Schizosaccharomyces pombe: one gene and its partner. The protein of the gene in region 2 purifies or fractionates together with the protein of the main gene of each other region. This does not show direct contact. Each region holds a gene or a part of one and is shown on either strand. Other genes may lie near its edges. The genes, in order: pho4 and cnx1.

The links.
Region 1: the proteins of cnx1 (region 2) and pho4 purify together in Schizosaccharomyces pombe (affinity purification with western blotting, with the first as the bait; one study listed by BioGRID). This does not show direct contact.

The regions. Positions count from the first base shown.
Region 1 is NC_003423.3:444,693-448,755, forward strand, and holds pho4 (thiamine-repressible acid phosphatase Pho4), read right to left. Parts: upstream 2,337-4,063; 5' UTR 2,117-2,336; coding exon 725-2,116; 3' UTR 632-724; downstream 1-631. UniProt on the Schizosaccharomyces pombe protein: May dephosphorylate thiamine phosphates.
Region 2 is NC_003424.3:2,085,566-2,090,276, forward strand, and holds cnx1 (calnexin Cnx1), read right to left. Parts: upstream 2,760-4,711; 5' UTR 2,733-2,759; coding exon 1,050-2,732; 3' UTR 828-1,049; downstream 1-827. Other genes in the region: pex13 (peroxin 13), read left to right, coding at 1-549; CLIP170 family protein Tip1, read left to right, coding at 4,222-4,711.

The DNA of each region.
Region 1 (4,063 bases), on a different chromosome or scaffold from region 2:
AAAATGTTTGAAATCGGTGATTTTGGATAGTATCTTAAAAAATAAGAAAATTGTCAGAAGAAGCACCTTCTTACGCGAAGCCTTAGTTTTATCATTTGGAACATCTCATGGCAATGTTCATTTTGATTTATAGAGCTACAGATATTAAAGGGTTTAAAAAAAGGGATTGATTGATTCTTTTATCCGTGTAATGGAAAAGGAGGACTAGGGATTTTTTTTTTGGCAAATTACATGACTTTCAAATATTTTAAATGAATTCTATTAAACTTTTGTGTCGTTCGTGTGTGGTAAAAGGTGAGTTGTTGACGCCAAAAGGAATCGTTAATGTACGCGTTATATCTTGAGAAATGTTTAAGATTTATCCCGACCTATTAATATTAATGATTTGGAAAGGAATTACAAAAGCTACGGAGTCACTTGAAAGGCTTTGAAGTAAGTCGAATTGAAGAATTAGCTTCACCTAAAGGCGGTACGAGTGAAGGTTATAGATTTCGTACTAGGCATTTAAAACTATAAGTATTTCCTTTTTTGTTCAAACACTGACACAACTCGTTTATACTATGTCTCGTAAGTCTTTCTTGAATATATAAATGCTCACTTTCTGTTCGCTCTACTTTTCCTCCTTAATACCTAAGTCTTATACATAAGCTATTACTATAGTTAAAAATTATCTATATTATTCCTAAGGACCCAATTGTGTTAACAATAATATAAGATGCTAAGTCTAGTAGTAGACGGTAACGTTGGTGGAATGCGCCTGACATTGCGAGTTAAAATTAGCAATACCATTAGAGGTAGAATTAACACGAACCGAAGAATTCAAGTAAGCGCTCAACTCGCATAACCCATCTGAAGCACCACTAGGACCATAACCGCAATCAGTAAGGGGGTATACTTGCTGGTTGACGAGATGGCGTACATAGTATTTATTATCAGAACATAAGAAAAGTTCAGTAATTAAGTTTCCTGCGAAGGGAACGAACGAAGAGGTTTTTAATGAGTATGTAAAAATGTTTTTGTCAGTCGGTAGAGGGTGCTCAGGAGTAATGTCGGGGAAAAACCCAAGAGCAGCCTCGACTGGAATAATTTGAGAGTCGTGGGTAAACGCTAAGAATACCTTACGATCGGAAGCATTATTCACACCCTTACGAAGATTATTTGCAAGGTTATTAACATAAGCCCCACCTAATGTGGAAGCCCATTCTGAAGCGGGACCACCCCAATATGCGTAGTCAAGGTCACTGTCATATTCAAAATTCAAAAATTCAGAGGGAGTAAAGAGTGAACAGAAATCGCTGTTATCTCTGAGAGCGATCTCGTATACACAAATATAGTAAAGACTGCGAACATCCGAAACCGTAAGATTATAACCGCTATCAAAGTATTTGTTTAAGCGATTGGCGATAGGCTTGAGAAAAACATTACGCCAACTAGTATGGGCGGCTTCAGTAGTGTTTTCATCAATATTGTTGTCTTCATAAACGGGACAAGAGTAATACATAGCTAAGGAGTTTGCACCCGCAGAATCGTCTTCCGGAAGAACGATGAAGTTGGTTTTGTTCTGCATATCATCGCCAAACATTCCATAACTAAACCATTCTGCAGAGTCGACAACACGTTCTTGAGCAGCAGTATTGATATCGTAGACATCAGTGTCGAAAAGCTCATAGTAGCGCTCAAAAACTTGACGGCCCAAGTCAAAAAGTTCAATTCGACCGCTGCTGGACAACTGGTCGGCATTTTCAGCCTTTATCACAGGAGTCCAATGTTTAACGAAGTAAAGAGGATTTTCAGGATAGCTAAAATTTACCGGAATTGAGCCATTTAGAAGCTTGTTTTGAAAAATATCTATATATTGCGCACTAGAGACATCAGTGGCAGTGTCATCCCCAGTCGGGTTTCGAGATCCATGACGCTGAAGCAAATGAACCTGTTTAATTGCACAAGATTCGGGGAAGGAGGTAGTGGGCCCATTAAAGTAGGGTTCATGATATACACTAATCGTTCCAAGATGGTCCTTGAAATAAAACTCATTTTCAAATGCCTCAAATTGAGATTTACCAGCATGAACGATGGATGCGGCCAAAAGCCATAGAGAAATACCACTTAACTTCATCGAGAAAAAACAATGAATTTATGTAACCCAAGCAGACCCAATAAAACCACAAGAAAGAAATTTACTGTGTATGAATCAACCAACGACCAGCGATTCAATAGCAAAAAAAATAACGATCGAATATTTAAAAGCGGGTTGAAACGAACGGTAGTCTATTCAATCAACGAACTTTGATTATTTGAAGTAGGAAAAGTCTAAAATAAACAGTCAAAAGATGACTATTCTAAGCGCAAGAAGCAGCAGATATTTATATACAATCAATCCGGATATCTGCTAACACTAAGCACCCCGGCTACCACCAAACCAAAGTCTGATTTCGGCACGACTACATTGGAATTAAAAAAAATGAATGAAGTTGCAAACCTGGTGTAGTTCGCTATTAGACTTTAAGATTTTGGACCCACAATTGTTAACTGAAATAACGATGCAAATTACGGACAAAGTGTTACAGTAATATTATGCGATTAATAATACAACGGTGTAATATAATGATATTATTATTACTGAACTTACAAAAATCTGATATTCCAATACTTAATAATTTAATAGAACTAAAGAACGAAGTTTCAGTTGGAAATGATTTTGCAGTCTTTTTGTTTTATATAAATTTATATTATATAATAGCAATGCCTACTCTCTGTGAAATGGAATTATAAATGATAATGTAATACAAAATGAATACTATTGTGTAAAGATGTGCAAACATTGTACGAGCTGCTACATAATATTGCATAATAAAGATATTTTTACATGTATATCACTAATAAGAAGTTGGGCATTGAAGAGTATTAGTCTGCTATCTTTGCAAATTGCTTCTAATATGTATATAAATAGCTTGGGAGAAAATTATTATTAATATTTAGTCTTTAGTAAGATCCAACAATTTAATTTATTAGAGCTACTTGTTTCATGCCGTTCTTAAATGTCCAGAAAAAAGATTTATTCATTCCAATAGAATAAATTAATATAATAAACAAGCATTCCCGCTATTCCAGCGTTAATATAATGGGTTTCATATGCATATTCAAAATGTATATAAAGGGTATACTAGCCACATTGTCATGTGCAGCCCTCGCTTAAGTAATAGCTTAAAACAACTGTGGGGTTATTGAAGAAATGAAAATGTTAAAAACGTAAAAGTTGTTTGTTTGTACGGTTGGACCCTCTAAACACTTTTTTCTATTCTGACATTTAATTAATTTTATGATGAAGATTTTTTTTATGTTCAGTAAGTAAAGCGATGCCTTATAACAATATTACAATGGTAATGGTATAAATAAAGATAAAAATTTTATAGCAATTGCAAGAATGAGTACTTTTGAAAACTCGGTTATTGGAGAATCAAGCTGAAGTGGTTGAAGCGAGCTAGTAATAACTCACTTTAAAGCATTTACCAATTGAAGTCTCACAAGCCTTTTGATATTTCGAAAAGGAAGGAATTATGCTAGGCACTCAGCATAAAAAGAACCATTTTATATGATAAAGGGCAAAGGGAAATTAATTTTCTCTCTATAATAGTAAGTATACTGTTGGATATTTATTCCAAAGGAAATATAGGCGGTGAATTCTACTTTTATCTTCTGATCTCTACGCTTTTATTATCAACCGTAAGAGTCTTTCTTTTATAGTAATAACAATCCAGTTAAAAAGGGATAAAAATACTTATCTTCCTTTTTATATATTACTAATCCTAAAAGAGCTTAGAAATAAGCAATTTTTTATTAACTAGTTCTTTATAAAAGCATATTTATAGAGAAAAGCATTTCATGAAATTATGCTATGTACAGCGAAATACGAAAATAAAATACCTCCTTTGACTAGAACTGTAAGCAACAAAGAGTAAACAATAAAAGCTTGTAGTCATTAGCAAATTAGATTTTTTTATCAGTAGTCTCGATATTAGATGAGATATGTTGACATAATCTGTTTGCCAGTTCTTTCTTTAAA
Region 2 (4,711 bases):
ATGGCTGCTCACATGAGTTATAATACATTTGTTTCTGTGAGTGAAAATCTGAACAAACTAAAATCGTCTATTGGTGCAATATTTGGTATTGTTTCATTGTTGTCGCGGCTTAAACGCCTAGTTTTAAAGTTCTTCAAGCATTCTAAAATCGATGAAATGAATTCACAAGAATATGATGTATTTGAGAAGGAGGAAGGAAACCATAAAAATTCAATATATTCAATTGTCAGTAGCTTGGCAATTATTCTTGGGTTGGTGGGCTTACCTTATGCAATAATTAGGTTATTCAAAAATATTTATGAAAAAGAAAAACAGATTCAACAAGCAAAAATCAGAAAAAAAATTGATAGTCTTGAGTTTTGCAAGGCTGATTATGAGTTTATGTCCAGAGATCCGGGAGTGGAAATGTCTTTAAAAAAAGGAGATATCATAGCAATTCTATCTAAAACAGACACCCAAGGTAATCCTTGCGAATGGTGGCAAGGAAGAAAGAGATCTGGCGAGACTGGGTGGTTTCCTTCAAATTATTGTTCAATCATTTCAAGGTAACGTTACGATATTTTGTTTGAGGACAATAAAATGTCTGAATCCCGTATAGTAAACGAACTTTTTAGTTTGACAATTTATTCTACTATTCTCACAAGATATGTAGACAAACATCCTTTCTCTTGATTGCAGAATTTCACGCATTACTTGCACTTGTTTATGGGAAATGCCTGATCATTTCTCTCTGACGACTAATGCGCAGTTGTAAAAAGTTTTTTGATAGTACTACCCACGATTTATAAATTCATAGTCTATTTATTGATATTACTCATAATAAGAACTAGAGAAAACATTTTCAAGTATTTTATAATTAGACTAAGGCTTTTAACAGAGTCGCTACTTTGAGTCAAACTTTGTAAACAAAATATGCTGTATTAGTGAGTATATATATTGATATATTCATTTACTTCAGTCAAAAGTCCACAAAGGAACAGGAAGTAGTTTATTGCAACTTCTATGCGATTCTTAAAATAAGAAAAACTTTTGACATTTTAGCAGTTTCATTAGTCTTCATTCTTCGCAGTTGGTGATTCAGTTTCGGGAGCGTAAGAAACGTCTATCTTCTCAGTCTCAGTCTCTTGCTTAAACTTCTCTTGCTGCTCTTTCTCAGCTTCCGTAGTTCCAGTAGATAAAGAAGCCGGGGAAGAGGAAGCAAAGAAATAAAAGTAACAAGTAAGAATAACAGCGGTTAAAGAGCCAAGAACGGCAACAATTGCAATCCCAATTTCAGGAGTCTCGATGATGGTTTCAACATAGTAGTCAACTTTTTCGGCAACATTTGGAGGAAGTTTAGCTTTAATAATATCATATACGTCAAGAAACTTCTCAAGAATTTGATTAGACTCTTCGTCAACATGCATTGATTGCTTTTCCATGGACTCTTGCTTAGAAAGTAATTCTCTTTCAGCTTTCAATTTAGGTAGGAAAGTTTCATTTCCAAGACGTTCAGCGTCCTCAATTGAATGGCCGACATAGATATTGCTAAAGCGGATGTTGGGCTGCATAGTCCAAAGTTCGAAACCAACACCGTAGAGTGGACCGAAATGAGAAGGATGATCATCATCAAAATAGTCAGGGTTAGGAATTTTACGAGGATACCATTCACCAATGAATTCAGGATTAGGGATCATAGGAGGAGACCAAGGGCCACGATAGTTAGGGTTACGAATCATCGGTGGCTTCCATTCACCACAGCCAGCACCTTCAATGCATTTAGGATTGATGATTTCACTTGGAATCCAATCACCATCTTCTTCATCATCCCAATCCTCAGGCTTCTGAGCTTCAGGATCAGGAATGTAAAGAGGTTCATCCTCTAACCAATCCTCAGGTTTCACTGCGTCAGGATCAGGAATCATACGGGGAGCGTCTTCATCCCAATCATCAGGCTTAACCGCATTGGGGTCAGGAATTTCAGGTTCGTCAACCCAATCAGCAGGCTTGATATCTTCGGGATCGTAAATTTCAACGGGAGGAAGAACAGGAGGTATAAAATCATAAAACAAAGATCCTTGACGGACAACATCGCCATTAATACGGACTTCGAAGGTTTGGTCAGGCTTCACAATTAAAGTGTAAAGGTTTGTAATACCAGGTTTCAAAAGGCTGGCGGGTCTAGAGTCGAGATGCTTCTCGGAATACTCACCCGTAAGGGGATTCTTATGCTTGAAGATAAAATGAACACGGTCATTAACACCACATTTGTCGGGTCCAAACATGATTCTGTAATCGATGGAGTTTGACATTTCACCATGAGTGGGTTCTGCTAAGAGCTTTAAATATGCACCACCACAGTTCAGACCCTCTTCGGGGTTAACCTCATATTGAACTACCAAATCCTTTTCTGGTTCATTTATGGGTTCATCAAATTCATAAGAAATAGCATGATGAGCGGCTTCGTCTTTCATAACGAGACCGGCTTCACCCTTAAGGGCACCGGGACCAGAACTTTCCTCAACAGTCCATTCACCTACATAGCTCATTTCTTCAATACCATTTACAAATCGTTTAGCATGTGAAGGAATCCAACGTTCAGACCATGCACCTTGAAACTGCTCAACAAGAGGCGCTTTCACTTCAGTTGGGTTAAAAACCAAAGGTTCTTGTTCGGATTCAGGATCAGCAAGTGATCCCCGAACATATAAAGAGCACAAAAGCGCTAGAAAAGATACCTTTCCGTACTTCATTTCCACGTGTTGGGTGGTGTAGTTGATAACTACGGTGCGCGGTTTTGCGTGTGTTTTGGTAGTACTACGGCTTTGATCGATGAGATGGATCAGCAAACATAATCGAAAGAATAATGGAGAAGGTTCCGGAACGAAAAACAAATCGCATTAAACTTAGATGATTAGATTTGAAAGACCTATCTGGTAAGTTGTATTTGCATTAGATCTTTATATTTATTTTACTTCTTACTTTGTGAATTACGGAGCGCAATGTCTTGCTATAATGAAGGTTGCAGTAACATGTTTACAGTAAACGTTTGCATTTTAATATACTAAGTATTTGGCTTTAATTGTTCTCCCCATTAAGTAAAAAAAAAGAGTAATGCAAACAATGAGATAAAATAAAAGTTTACAAACTATCACTAGTCATAAAGCCTTGAAAGCGCTATACTCGTAGTCTTTGAATCTTCAATCATTAGAATATGCTTTAGTCTGACGCATAACAACTGTCAGGTATCAAACAAGTTTTTTTATTCTCGTACACCATTAGCTCAAAATTGGGACAATCACAATATTTAATATGTTTTTTTTTTAAATAGTTTATAGTTAGCCTTTAGCAAAATCTCAAATAGCAAATATTTTTTTAGCAAGTCCATCATTATTAAGTGCAAATATCTACCGGGTTAAAGAGAAAGATGACTATTGTCTTGGTAACAGATTGAAACATGAAATCTATGAGAGTAATATCTATTAATAAAAACACACCGCTTTGCACTTCGTAAATTGCTTTCATACTCTAGTATAATAAGTTTTACAACATCTGATACATATAATTTTTATTAAAGAGTTAGTTAGTAAACAAAGATTTGTTGTTGTGATAAAACAACTATTTTGTATTGAGTATATTTATTCATTGTTTTGTTTACTTTTAATTTTGATTAAGTAGCAATGTTACCTCTAAGCAGTTCGAGCAAATACCACTTTACCAGTACCCACCTATATTCATAGGATTAGTACACCACGGTGCGTTTGCTTGCTTTCAACTGTATTTATTATATTTCTTTTAAATTTTGTTTAGATGAAGATCTTTAATTGATAATCTAAAAACTTAATTGGAAAGTTGAGACTTGACCATAGTAATTTCATCAATAGTTACCTCAATTTTGGATATTGGTTAACCTTCTTTTAATTCTTCTCCCTTTCTCACTGCTAGTATAACATATATCAAATCAAATAAGCTGGAAAATTGGTTACTTGAGTACTTAATTTACGATCTTTTGTCGGCAGCAAATAGATATATTCATTTATCTACGAATTGAATTTTTTGTTATCCCCCTAATACTTGATTACAATCTTTTGGTTTCAAATTGTCTCTTTCTTTTTATTCCTTATACCACGTCAGCATTTTCTACGTTCCATTTTCAACTTTACTCCTTCAAACCTTATAGCTCTATTTTTGTCATCGAGAAACTTTTGAATCTTTTATTAATATTCCTAAATTTTCCTCTAAATGTTTCCTCTTGGCAGTGTCGTTGAGGTAATAACCGGAGAGCGGGGGTTTGTCCGTTATGCTGGAGAAGTGGAAAACCGAAAAGGTGTGTATGTCGGCTTGGAGCTTTTACCTGAATTTGCCGAGTTTGGTAAAAACAGAGGCGTCGTTGATGGTCGTGAATACTTCAAAACTAAAAACAACGAGAAGACGGGCATTTTTGTGCCATTCGATAAATGTAAGCTTGCATCTTCTATTTCATCATCACCTTCTCCCAAAATAGATGGAACTGCAGCATCAATAGGAATGGGTTTTCCTCCTATGTCTCCTAATCTTCAATCATCTATTCCAAGATTAACCAATGTTTCGTCCTCTAGTAATCTCAGTATGAATACTATTTCCTCTACTGCCTTAACGCCAACCGAAAAAATTCTTCAGAAACGTATTGAGGATTTGCTTTACGAACGTCAAAACCATCAACAGCAATTGGAAGAAGTGTTGGCTACGGTTG